3 linked regions of the Oryctolagus cuniculus genome follow. The protein of the gene in region 1 purifies or fractionates together with the protein of each later gene. This does not show direct contact. Links are inferred from orthologs where the notes say so. Each region holds a gene or a part of one and is shown on either strand. Other genes may lie near its edges.

Region 1 (3,745 bases):
GATGCAGAGGATATGTAGAATGGGCTTCCAAACCAACCTAGAAATGCAGGTGGTAGTAACCAGAACAAAGGCCCTGGGAACAGAGTGTAAGCAGTGTAGATAAAGACAGTGCAATCTACAGCCATCATTTGCTTGGCTTTGCAGTGGTGTGAACCATAGCCATGCAGCACGTGTTATTAATGCAGAACAGCATGAAGGTCATGTGGAAGTAAAGCAGCATGCCCATGATGGTCTCAAGTTTGAGGTTTAGAGGAGGGAATATCCAGCAGAAGACAGGGTGAAGAAAGGTCAACAAGACAGACCCATCACTGTTACCCCAGCACAGGTCCAGCAGATAGTAAGAGACCTTGTGCAGCATTCCCAAGGGTAAGGGTTAACCTGACTGGAATCCAAAGGGCCTGGGGATCTCCACTGGCTCCCTAATTGGTCGACGTCTAGCTCTGCGAACACCTTCACGCAACAAGTAGTACTGCAGTGGATTTGGCCACAAGTCCTCTTTGATAATCTCAGCAATTCTGTCAGATTCTGGAAGGCTGTGGTCTGAAAACCAGGTGAAGAAACTGCAGATGAGGTCTTGGTTTCTACGGATGAAGGACTGGGGTTCATGTCCCCTGCGCCATATGATTGGCGTAGAAAGAGACACTACTCTCCCAGAGGATCGGACCTCGTATTCCTTGACAATCAGCTTATTTCTGAAGTAGGGATTTCTTCGAAAGAAGAACTTGAACTTGCAGCCAGTTCGGGGGTGTCTGAGTTCCTTCACCTCCAAATTGGATATGTACCTTAACATGTCTGCATCTTGGCCCCTAATCATGCCGGACAGCTGGGGATGGTTCCGAAAGGCAGTCATCCAGAAACCCGGGATGTTCTGAATGATGTAGTTTCTCCGCTCCAGGTAGTGTCGACGCATTCGCCCAAACTTCTGCTCCAGCTGTTGGAAGGCCCTGTCAGCCTGAGCATTCACAGTGTCCAGCTCCTGTTGGATGGCCTCCAGGGGGTTCATGCGCAGAACCACATTGAGATGCCAGGGCCCTGCCTCCTCCTTCACCTCCTCTACCACTCCGTTTTCCTCCACCACTTCTATTTCTTCACCTGCTGGCTTCTCCACCTCCATCTCCTCCGCCACTACCTGCTTCTCCTTCACGCCTTCCGTCTCCACCACCTCAGCCCTCTCCTCATCCGCGGCTTCTGAGAAGGAGGCACACTTTTCAATCTTCACTTCCTCCGCCTTCGCCCCCACCATCGCCTCACACTCCGACCTCTCTGCGCCACAGCTTTCGAGAGCCTTCTCCTCACCCTGGAAGACATCATCAAGCCTGCTGCGAGTTGCCACCACCATAGAAGCTGCTCCCAGTCTCTCTGAGGGAGGCGGAGCCTCTTCCCGCCCGGCCGTGATCGCTACGGGACCGCGACCCCCAACGACTCGGATCGGGGGAGCATGCCCACAGCTCGCGGGATCCCGGGGTGCGTCCCCCTCCTCTAAAATCTGGGGCGGCGGGAGCGCAACGGACCCCAAACTTCCCTCACCCGTCTCCGCCATCACCTGCGTCGCCTCGGTTTCCTCGCTGAGCCTCAGGCTCTGGTCCGGATCTCCAGGAGGATGTTCGGGAACAGTAAGGCCGAGGGACTGGGGGAGAGAGGTGCTCTCGACCCCATGCAGGCCGCTCATGTCAGCAACGGTTAGCCAGCGGCAGGGCAGAGTCTGTTTTCCTCACAAGCGCTGCGCTCAGAGATGCACTCCCCCTCACGCCCAACCAGCGCTGTCGCCCACCAACCTCCCCACGCAGGCGTCTCCGGGGCGGTGACGTCAGGGCGGTAGATCTCACCGCCTCGCGAGAACTCGCTGCGCCCGAGGATTGGCTCATCCGCTCCCTGCCGCCAAGCGTATTTTCCTAGTTTCGCTACTGAGTTTATCCGGTTGGAAAGGCAATTATATTTACGTAAATAAATGTAGGTCGTCCTCGAAGACCGACGGCAGTGACGACTTTTCTTTCAATGCATCAGGAAACCGCGTCCAGCATATAGGCAGAGTGATTCAAGGGACTTCGGTCCTCACACTGCGTGCCGTCCAGTGTCTGAAAACATGTTTTTGTGGTTTTCAGGGTTTTTTTGAGGCAGAAAGGTAAGTCTATTCCACTACTCCGTCTGGTTGGGATCAAAAATATTTTTAACCAGATGAATAGTGAAATGTTTCTCCTTCCTGAGGTGGAAGTGACGTGACCTTTACCCTCTCCTCAGCAGTTTTTTTTTTTTTTTAACACCAAAGTGATGCATATTATTTACTGCTGGTCTTCAATTTATAATCTGCATTACATCAGAATTTTATTTGCTAAATCTTGTTCCGTGCCCCTTCACTGTTAGAGGGAATGATAGCTATTTACAATGCCATAACTTTGATTTATTAACATGTTTAGTTCTGTAAGATAGGCAAGTTTGGATCCAATGAAATACCTATTCATGGCAATCAACCCAAGAGAGTTCATTTGAAACAGATGTCATGTCTTTGGTTTAGTTTGCTGACTTGTGAGTGAAAGTGGTGTTATCTTGGGGCCTCTACTCACCACCGTTGTTAAGAGGATAATCCAGGTGGTTTTGATGTAGAAAACAAATTTGTGGAATGCAACATGCAGCTGATTGACTTAAGGTGAAAAGCAGTTTTATGTACTGATTTGCCTTGTATGATAGGCTGATGGTCCCCAAAGAGGATCATGTGCTGATCCTCAGAACTTACTAGGTGGCAAAAGGAGCTTTCCAAGTATGGTTAAATTAATGATCTACACAAGTGAAGATTATCCTAGATTGTCCAGGTGGGCCCTGTGGAATTACAATGGCCCAGATAAAAAAGGAGGCAGCGTGTCAGAGAAAATGTGATGACCAAAGCAGAGGAAAGTGAGAAAAATATTATGCTGCTGGTTTTGAAGATAGAGGAAGGAGCAAGGATCCTAGGAATGAGGTAGCCTCTAGGAGGTAGGACGGTAAGAAAACAGATTCTACCCTTGAGCCTCCAAACGAGTGCAGTCCTCCCAACACCTTGATTTTAAGAAGTCGGATAATAAATTGTCACTTTAAGCTATGAAGTGTATGGTTGTTTGTTTCAGAAGTAATCTGAAATAAATCCACCTTGCGTTAGATTTCGTTGCATGTACTCATGCCTCAAGTTGTTTCTAACAGCAGCCTCTTCAGCTTTCTCCATTGCTTCCCCTAACGTCTTGCCTACTAAGTATGCTTTATCACTGCTTGAAATCCTTTGGATATTGAAACCAAAAATGTACTTAGGCAATACACAGACAAAGTTGAAGCCCAAACATACCACAAAAGATATTTGAGAAGACTGAACTGCAGGAGGACAAGATTGTGGTTTATTTACCTCTGTTTACCTAATAACTAACACACTGTCTTGCACAATATTCCATAGATTGTGTTAAATTAAGGAGAAAATGAATACAGTTTCTCCTGATTGCAAATTGGTACTTGTAAAAGAGAAGTAAGGGACTTTTGGATTGTCACCCTGCTTTCGTCCTTATCCACCTCTGGATACTGGAGGGCCACTGTACTGGGCACAGTCCTGGTTTGGAGAATTAATTTCTGCATGTGTGTCAGAGCCTCTAAAAGCATAGAAAAACCACAAAGAAAACTTTTATTTTATAAATAGTTTACATTTGTGTGATCACACTGTATGATAAACTGGGAAGACCAACAGATTTAGGTGAGTTTACATAGCAAAGCCTCAAACTACCAGTACTGT
Region 2 (3,645 bases), on another chromosome or scaffold:
CTTGAACTTGAACCTTCTTGTCTGACCATTAGCTACCAGTAGTAGGTCCCGACGTTCATCCAGATCGGAGTGTTTAACTTTGACTTGGGTTTTTGTTGAGCCCTAGCGGAGCCACTGAGGTTCCACAGAGCTCTGCTGGGATGGAGCCCGGCTTTTACCTTTGGCAAGTCGCTCTCGGTGTCTTTGGGTGGGGACAGACCCCGCTCAGGGCGGCTGGCGCCTCCACCCAGGACTGTGCAGTGCTGACTGTGTTTTCTGTCTTCTTTTCAAACTTGGAGGCCTCCGTGGAGCTTCCCTACACCCGATGGCGATGGCGTTGGCGTTGTCGGGGCAGGAAGCGTGACGGTGTCCTGCGGAGCTCTTGTCAGGAGAGAGCGGGCTTTTCCTGGGGTTTGTGGTTTGAGCGTGTGGAATGCCTACTGCTTTCCACTCTGTTTGCCCGAGACCTGGAAATGCGTGGCCTTCCCCTTGATGCCTCCAGAAGTGGAGCCACCGTGGAAATGCCACGGCAGCCGGCTGCACCGGTGCAGGAAGGGCCAGGCCCCCGGGCTGCGGGGAAACCACACACTCCCCCCACCCAGAGGGGGCCAGCGGCTTGCTGGCTGTAGGCAGCCTGTGACCTGCTGCGGGCAGACTTTCTGTTCTAGCCACAGCTCTTGATTTCTGTGCAGAATTCCCTGACTTGGAACAGGGTGACACAGTCTAAGTGAGAACACCAGATGCAGACGCCTGGGTCCCCTGTGGGGCGAGGCCTCGCTCCCACCCCTTCACGCCTGCCCCTCCGCACCCGCTGGGCTGGTGGCCTGAGAGTTCGCATCCCGTCCCCCAAGGCTCTGGCTTCCTGCTTTGAGCCCTACACAAAGGGTTAGGGCTTTGAACGCTTCGGGCACAGGGCTGGCGAGAGTCAGGAGCCCAGGGTCTCGCCATGCCTGTGTCGTGGTTTACTTTACGGCCAGCGATTTCTCTGGGCCTCTGTTTTCCAATCTGTGAGCTGGATCATTTGAGGAATCTCTAGGCTTTCTTTCCGCCCCTCCCACTGTCTCAGCTGGTTAGCAGCGTTGTACATGTTGAGGTTTAGGTCAGCGCGCCCCCACCTTGCTTGAATACCAGTCCCGAAACCACCTCCAGACACACGAGTGGCACTGGTCTGCGGCCGGGAGCTGCGTCCCTTCCTCTGTGGCCCCAGCCGGCCCGCGTGACACCATGTGAAGCGTGTGTGCAGACCTCGGCTGCGGCGTGCGGAGCCTCTGCGTTGGGCCCTGCTCCCAGGTGCGCGGCTGCGGCACACGCCGGCTTTTCTTCTTGGCTGCAGGCATCAATGAGATCTCGGAAGACGTGTACACGGCCGTGGAGCACAGCGACTCCGAGGACTCCGAGAAGTCGGAGAGCAGCGACAGCGAATACATCAGCGATGACGAGAAGCCCAAGGCCGAGCCGGAGCCCGCGGACGACAAGGACGCCGGTCGGGCCGACAAGGAGCCGTCCGCTGCCAAAAAAAAGCCCAAGCCTGCCAACCCGGCCGAGGTGAAAGAGGAGCTGAAGGGCTCGCCCCCGGCCGCGGAGAAGGCAGAGCCTGCGGCGACGGCCAAGGACAAGGCCAGCCCCGAGCCCGAGAAGGACTTCGCAGAGAAAGCGAAGCCCTCCCCTCACCCCACCAGGGACAAGCTGAAGGGCAAGGACGAGACGGACTCCCCGACCGTGCACCTGGGGCTCGACTCCGACTCGGAGAGCGAGCTGGTCATCGACCTGGGCGATGACCACGCGGGGCGGGAGGGCCGCAAGACCAAGAAGGAGCCCAAAGAGCCGTCTCCCAAGCAGGACGGTGAGTGCACGCGGCCGGTCCCCATTTCTTCGTTGGGTTTCTAGTTCCGCCCTGCGTTTGTCTCATCCAAGGGGCCGTGCCCCTCTGGTGCCAGCTGTGGTTGGTGTGGTCCTCAGGTAGTGGGCCAGCAGAGCCTCGGCTTACACCAGCCCCCGCCCGCCTCTCACCTGTTCCAGGCGGAACACAATTGCTTTTCCTTTTCAGTTTTTTTAAAAAAAGATTCTACTGATTTGAGAGGGGGAGTTACAGACAGTGAACCATCCTCTGGTTCACTCCCCAAATGGTCGCAAGGACTGGAGCTGAGCCGATCCGGAGCCAGGAGCCAGGAGCCAGGAGCCAGGAGCTTCTTCTGGTTCTCCGAAGCAGGTGCAGGGGCCCAAGCACTTGGCATCTTCTGCCGTTTTCCCAGGTGCATTAGCAGGGAGCTGGATCGGAAGTGGAGCAGCCGGGCCTTGAACTGGTGCCCGTATGTGATGCTGGTGTCACGGGCTGGCTTTACTCGCTTCACCACAACGCTGGCCCCGGTCAAGTCATTTTTAGCCCAAGTAGCATCTTCCCAGCACGCTGACTCATTTCCCTAAGGACACTGTGAGCTTTCAGACATTTGACAGGGCTCAGCCGATAAGCATTGAATAGCTCAGATCTGGATGAGTTCAGCTTCCCTCTTCCTCCCTTCCTGCCGCCCAGTGTTCTCCCTGTGGGTGTTGGCTCCTTGGAGCACTGGGGATGGGCGGGCCCCGGGGCGCCGGGCCCCGCGTTGGTGTCCCATCCCGTTTGCGTTCAGTAGAGCTCAGCTCCAGGTAGTTCTTTGTCCTGTGCTGGCAGGAGTCGGCTGCCCCTGGTAGTTCTTTGTCTTGTGCTGGCAGGAGTCGGCTGCCCCAGCTTCTCCCCATTAGGCAGACGGTGCCAGTATCCCCTGCGGGCTACAGCTTGCCCCACTGAGGGCCGCTGCACCTGTTGTGGTCTGAAGCCTCCCAGGGCCCAGCCCGTGAGCAGACCCTCTGGGAGGAGAACAGGGGCTTTCAAAGGGTGCCCTTCCCACAGCCCAGGTGGTCAGCGTAGTTTCCAGCTGGCTTGGCAGGCGGGCGAGGGTCGTGAGGAGTTCATTGAGGACCCGGGAGAAGCCTGGCCTGGGGCTGCCGCCCTTCTGCCTGGAGCTCCCTTCCCAGCTGCCTGTGGTTCTCAGTCCTGCGGCTGACCGCGAGCCCGCGGTGACAGGAGAGAGGGAGCCGCCGCTGACTGCCCTGGAGTGGAGAGAGAAGGGATTGGTGGGCAAGCAGGAGGCAGCAGCCCAGGGCCATCTCCTAGGCGAGAGGGGCGCAGAAAATGCTCCTTGTGCTGAGGATTGGGGTTGAGAGACGGTGTCCCCGGTTGCAGAGAACACTGCGGGGGGCTGGCCTTTGTCCCCCGAGGGTGTGGTGGGGGCAGGGCTCCCGTGACGCCCACGCCAAGCCCTTCTGTCTGGAACGGCTCTGCATTGATTCCCGCTACGCCCCTTCGTCGTCCAGAAAGGCTTTGCAACGGATCGACAGGTGGTGTAGCCCTGAAACAAGAGGGAAGACACAGAATGGAAGGGCGGTGAGGGCAGGCGGGCAGAAGGGCCTGGCGAGAGCTATGCTGCCGGCGCGCCCTGTTCCGGCTTCAGAATCGGGGGGCTGGGCTTCCGTTTTGGGTCTGAGCTCCTAGCCATGAAGCGAGCTCGTGCGGTGCCCCACATAAAGGCGTCTCCGCTGGTGAGAACTGGAGTTCTTCCTTGCACTGCTGCGCAAGGCCGATGGTAATTCACGAGTCCGTCTGAGCAGGTCGCCAGGGTTTGGCTCCTG
Region 3 (3,645 bases), on another chromosome or scaffold:
ACTTTTCCCAGGCCATTAGCAGGGAGAAGGATCAGAAGTGGGCAGCTGGGACACAAACCGGTGGTGCCCATATGGGATGCTGTCGTCATAGGCAGTGGCTTAGCCTGCTGTGCCACAGCGCCGGCCCCTCGCTTGGAAATTGAGAGTTATCACTGGTGACGTCGGGTCTCAGTGCCAGTCTCAGACTCTTCCTGCAGCTGCTGATTACAGCTGCCTTCTGGTTACATCGCTGTTGGGGAACTTGGGCAAAGTGGAGGAGTTCTGGGTTGGTGGAGGTGGTGCTTAGTTATTTCAGGGTCCCTTATTCTGTGCAGAAGAGAGAATTTCAGACAGAAGCACTGTGCGTCTGTTGATTGACACTGTGTTTTGTTTGTTTTACAGGAAGTGGGAAAACTCTCGCCTTTGCCATCCCCATGATTCACGCTGTGCTGCAGTGGCAGAAGGGGAAGCCCAGCCCTGTTTCAGGGAACGCTGGAATGCCACCCGGGGAGAGCAGGACCAAGGTTGGAACCGAGACTGGCTCACCAAGCAAGTCGGCAGCTGAGTCTGGCGTGTCACCTGGCGGGACTGGAATTGAGAGTGAAGAAGTGCCTCCCGGTGAGGCTGGGTCCACCGTCTCAGCCCAGGCCCTGCCGCTCTGTGGCGAGAGTGATGCTGGTGAAGGGCCTTCCTCCCTGACCCAGGAGAATGCCGTCTGCACACAGAGTGAGGATGAAGAGGAAGGGCTCGGTGAAGAGCCGAGCGGAAAGGCTGAGCAAGAGTCGGAGGGCGGAGCTGCGGCCTGGGAGGCCCCTCCCGCGCGCCCCCTGCTCGGCCTGGTTCTGACGCCCACCCGCGAGCTGGCCGTTCAGGTCAAGCAGCACATCGACGCCGTGGCCAGGTTTACAGGTGAGGTTTGCCTTCACGCGGTGAACGCGTCCTGCCTGGCGCCTAAATGCTCGTGGTAAAGAAGCGGTGGCTCCCGCCCTCGGAGGAAGCTGCTTCTCGTGTGCCTGAGCAGCAAGCCCTACGGAAAACCAGGTGGCGGTGTCTCGGCTCTCTTTGCTGGTGCCGTGTTAGACTCAGGGACGTTAATTAGTCTGTTGGATACGGTGGATGGTTAGGGCACCCATCTGGGTACACACTGCCTGTGGCTGCTTTTGTATTGCAAAGGCCAAGTTGAGTAGAGATAGTGGTTGTGACTTGGACTGTCTGGCCCACAGGAGTAACATTTACTAGTGACTCTTTTTTTTAAAAATTTATTTATTTGAAAGAGTTACACAAAAAGAAGGAGAGGCGGGGTGGGAGGGTCTTCCATCCACTGGTTCACTCCCCAGTTGGCCGCAACAGCCAGAGCTGTGCTGCTCAGGAGCCAGGAGCCTCCTCCAGGTCTCCCATGGGGTGCAGCGGCCCAAGCACTTGGGCCATCCTCCACTGCACTCCCAGGCCACAGCAGAGAGCTGGCCTGGAAGAGGAGCAGCCGGGACTAGAACTGGCGCCCATATGGGATGCCGCCGCCACAGGCGCCCTACCCAGTACGCCGCAGCGCTGGTCCCACTAGTGACTCTTACGAACAAGTCTTAATTCTCCCTGGGAATTCTTTTCAGGAAGGGCTGCACAGTGGGAATTATAGTGTGTGCGAGGCGCTTAGCGGGGCACTTTCCCTGATCCTGCTGTTCTTCCCCGCACTGGGGGCCGTGAGAAGTCTTCCACCCGCGGAGGCATTAGAGGAGCTTCGGATTAACTGTGAGTGAGGAGGGGGAGGCCCCCGGGAGAGGCATGTCACAGCTGCAGGTAATGTCCTCCAGTGTCATTGTCTGCCACCACTCTGTTTGCCCTGGGCTTTGGGCGTCAGCGTGCCTGGGCTCAGAGGGCAGAGAGTAGGAAGAAGTGAGGTTGGAGAAATTGTCCGGGCCCTGGTTACAGAATATTTGGTATGCTCTGTAGGTGTGGCATCCATGGTCAGGCCACACCTGCTCTTACAGCACCCGTTGGCACCTGGATCTGTGCTGGTGACCATCTCTGCTAATCTGGGGCTACCTGTATTAGCTGTGTAAGAAAATAACTTGCCAAACTGAATGAGAGTCCCTATGATTTCTGTCCCACAGGAATTAAAACTGCTATTTTGGTTGGTGGAATGTCTACGCAGAAACAGCAGAGGATGCTGAACCGCCATCCAGAGATAGTGATCGCCACGCCAGGCAGGCTGTGGGAGCTGATCAAAGAAAGACACTCTCATTTGAGCAACCTTCGGCAGCTCAGGTGGGAAATGGTGCCCACCCACCCCTGGTCCTGCAGTGAGCCTGAGCTGGCATCGTGATGTGCGCAGTTTCTTCTGTCACGTAGTGCCGTGGGGCAGTGCGTTCAGTCCCTGGCCTTAAAGCCAAGTGTGCGTGGGGGTGACTCGTCGAGGCCCTAGCGGTGGTGGTAGGGTATCTGCGTGTGTGTGGTTATGAGGGTGTGACTGGGCCGGGGGTCGAATGGGTCGAGTCCCTCTTACCTGCCGCTGACCAGCGGTGTGGGTCTGTCTGGATCTGCAGGTGCCTGGTACTGGACGAGGCTGACCGGATGGTGGAAAAGGGCCACTTCGCTGAGCTCTCGCAGCTGCTGGAGATGCTCAATGACTCCCAGTACAACCCACAGAGGCAGACGCTTGTTTTCTCTGCCACACTGACCCTGGTGCATCAGCTGCCCGCCCGACTCCTTCATAAGAAGCACACCAAGAAAATGGACAAAACTGCCAAGCTCGACCTCCTCGTGCAGAAGGTCGGCATGAGGGGTAAGCCGAAGGTCATCGACCTCACAAGGAACGAGGCCACGGTGGAGACCCTGACGGAGACCAAGATCCACTGCGAGACCGAGGAGAAAGACTTGTACCTCTACTACTTCCTGATGCAGTACCCGGGCCGCAGCTTGGTGTTTGCCAACAGCATCTCCTGCATCAAACGGCTCTCCGGGCTCCTCAAGGTCCTGGACATCATGCCTCTGACGCTGCACGCCTGCATGCACCAGAAGCAGCGGCTCCGAAACCTGGAGCAGTTCGCCCGAATGGAAGAGTGAGTGAAGCCGCCCTCGGCCTGGCCTGCAGCGCCGTGCGGGAGTGGCGGGAGGTCACCGCTGCTGCTGGGCCTTGTGAGAGCAGGCGGTCACCGCTGCTGTAGGGCCTTGTGAGAGCAGGCGGTCACCTCTGCTGCTGTAGGGCCTTGTGAGAGCAGGCGGTCACCTCTGCTGTAGGGCCTTGTGAGAGCAGGCGGCCCCCTTCTGCATGGCGTTCGGCAGGGTCACCGCGTTTAGCAGATTTGGATGCTGCTGATGTCCTCTGACGCTTTCGTAGCACTGAGTAACGGGGACAGTACCTAGTGTTGTTGACACTTCGTCCATTATGACCTAGGCCGGCACTTCAGAAACACCACGTCCCTCCACTCCCCCATCATCCAGGATAGATTTGTAGATAAGGGCACAAACTCTCGAACTGGGCTTCATGAGATCGAATCCTGACCCCACTGCTTCCTTGCTGGTCAAGTTGTTTGACTTCTGTGTGCTTGAGTTTGCTCATAGTGGGATAATAATATATAGACGTCATAGTGTTAGGGTTAACGGATGCGTGGATGTGAAGAGTTGGCGGCAGCTCTGTAAGGCACACAGTGTGTGCTTGTGAGATGTTAG

What was found. The genes of interacting proteins can lie anywhere in the genome.
Region 2: the proteins of TSPYL1 (region 1) and ZMYND8 purify together in Homo sapiens (affinity purification with mass spectrometry; 4 studies listed by BioGRID and IntAct, counting the BioPlex papers as one, with this or other methods). This does not show direct contact. The link is inferred for Oryctolagus cuniculus from reciprocal best matches to the Homo sapiens genes TSPYL1 and ZMYND8.
Region 3: the proteins of TSPYL1 (region 1) and DDX24 purify together in Homo sapiens (affinity purification with mass spectrometry; 3 studies listed by BioGRID and IntAct, counting the BioPlex papers as one, with this or other methods). This does not show direct contact. The link is inferred for Oryctolagus cuniculus from reciprocal best matches to the Homo sapiens genes TSPYL1 and DDX24.

The regions. Positions count from the first base shown.
Region 1 is NC_091436.1:54,883,167-54,886,911, reverse strand, and holds the start of TSPYL1 (testis-specific Y-encoded-like protein 1), read right to left. Parts: upstream 2,193-3,745; 5' UTR 1,670-2,192; coding exon 374-1,669; 3' UTR 1-373.
Region 2 is NC_091442.1:12,509,853-12,513,497, forward strand, and holds part of ZMYND8 (MYND-type zinc finger-containing chromatin reader ZMYND8), read left to right. Parts: intron 1-1,312; coding exon 1,313-1,822; intron 1,823-3,645. UniProt on the Homo sapiens protein: Chromatin reader that recognizes dual histone modifications such as histone H3.1 dimethylated at 'Lys-36' and histone H4 acetylated at 'Lys-16' (H3.1K36me2-H4K16ac) and histone H3 methylated at 'Lys-4' and histone H4 acetylated at 'Lys-14' (H3K4me1-H3K14ac).
Region 3 is NC_091451.1:38,925,357-38,929,001, reverse strand, and holds part of DDX24 (ATP-dependent RNA helicase DDX24), read left to right. Parts: intron 1-381; coding exon 382-888; intron 889-2,087; coding exon 2,088-2,241; intron 2,242-2,519; coding exon 2,520-3,035; intron 3,036-3,645. UniProt on the Homo sapiens protein: ATP-dependent RNA helicase that plays a role in various aspects of RNA metabolism including pre-mRNA splicing and is thereby involved in different biological processes such as cell cycle regulation or innate immunity.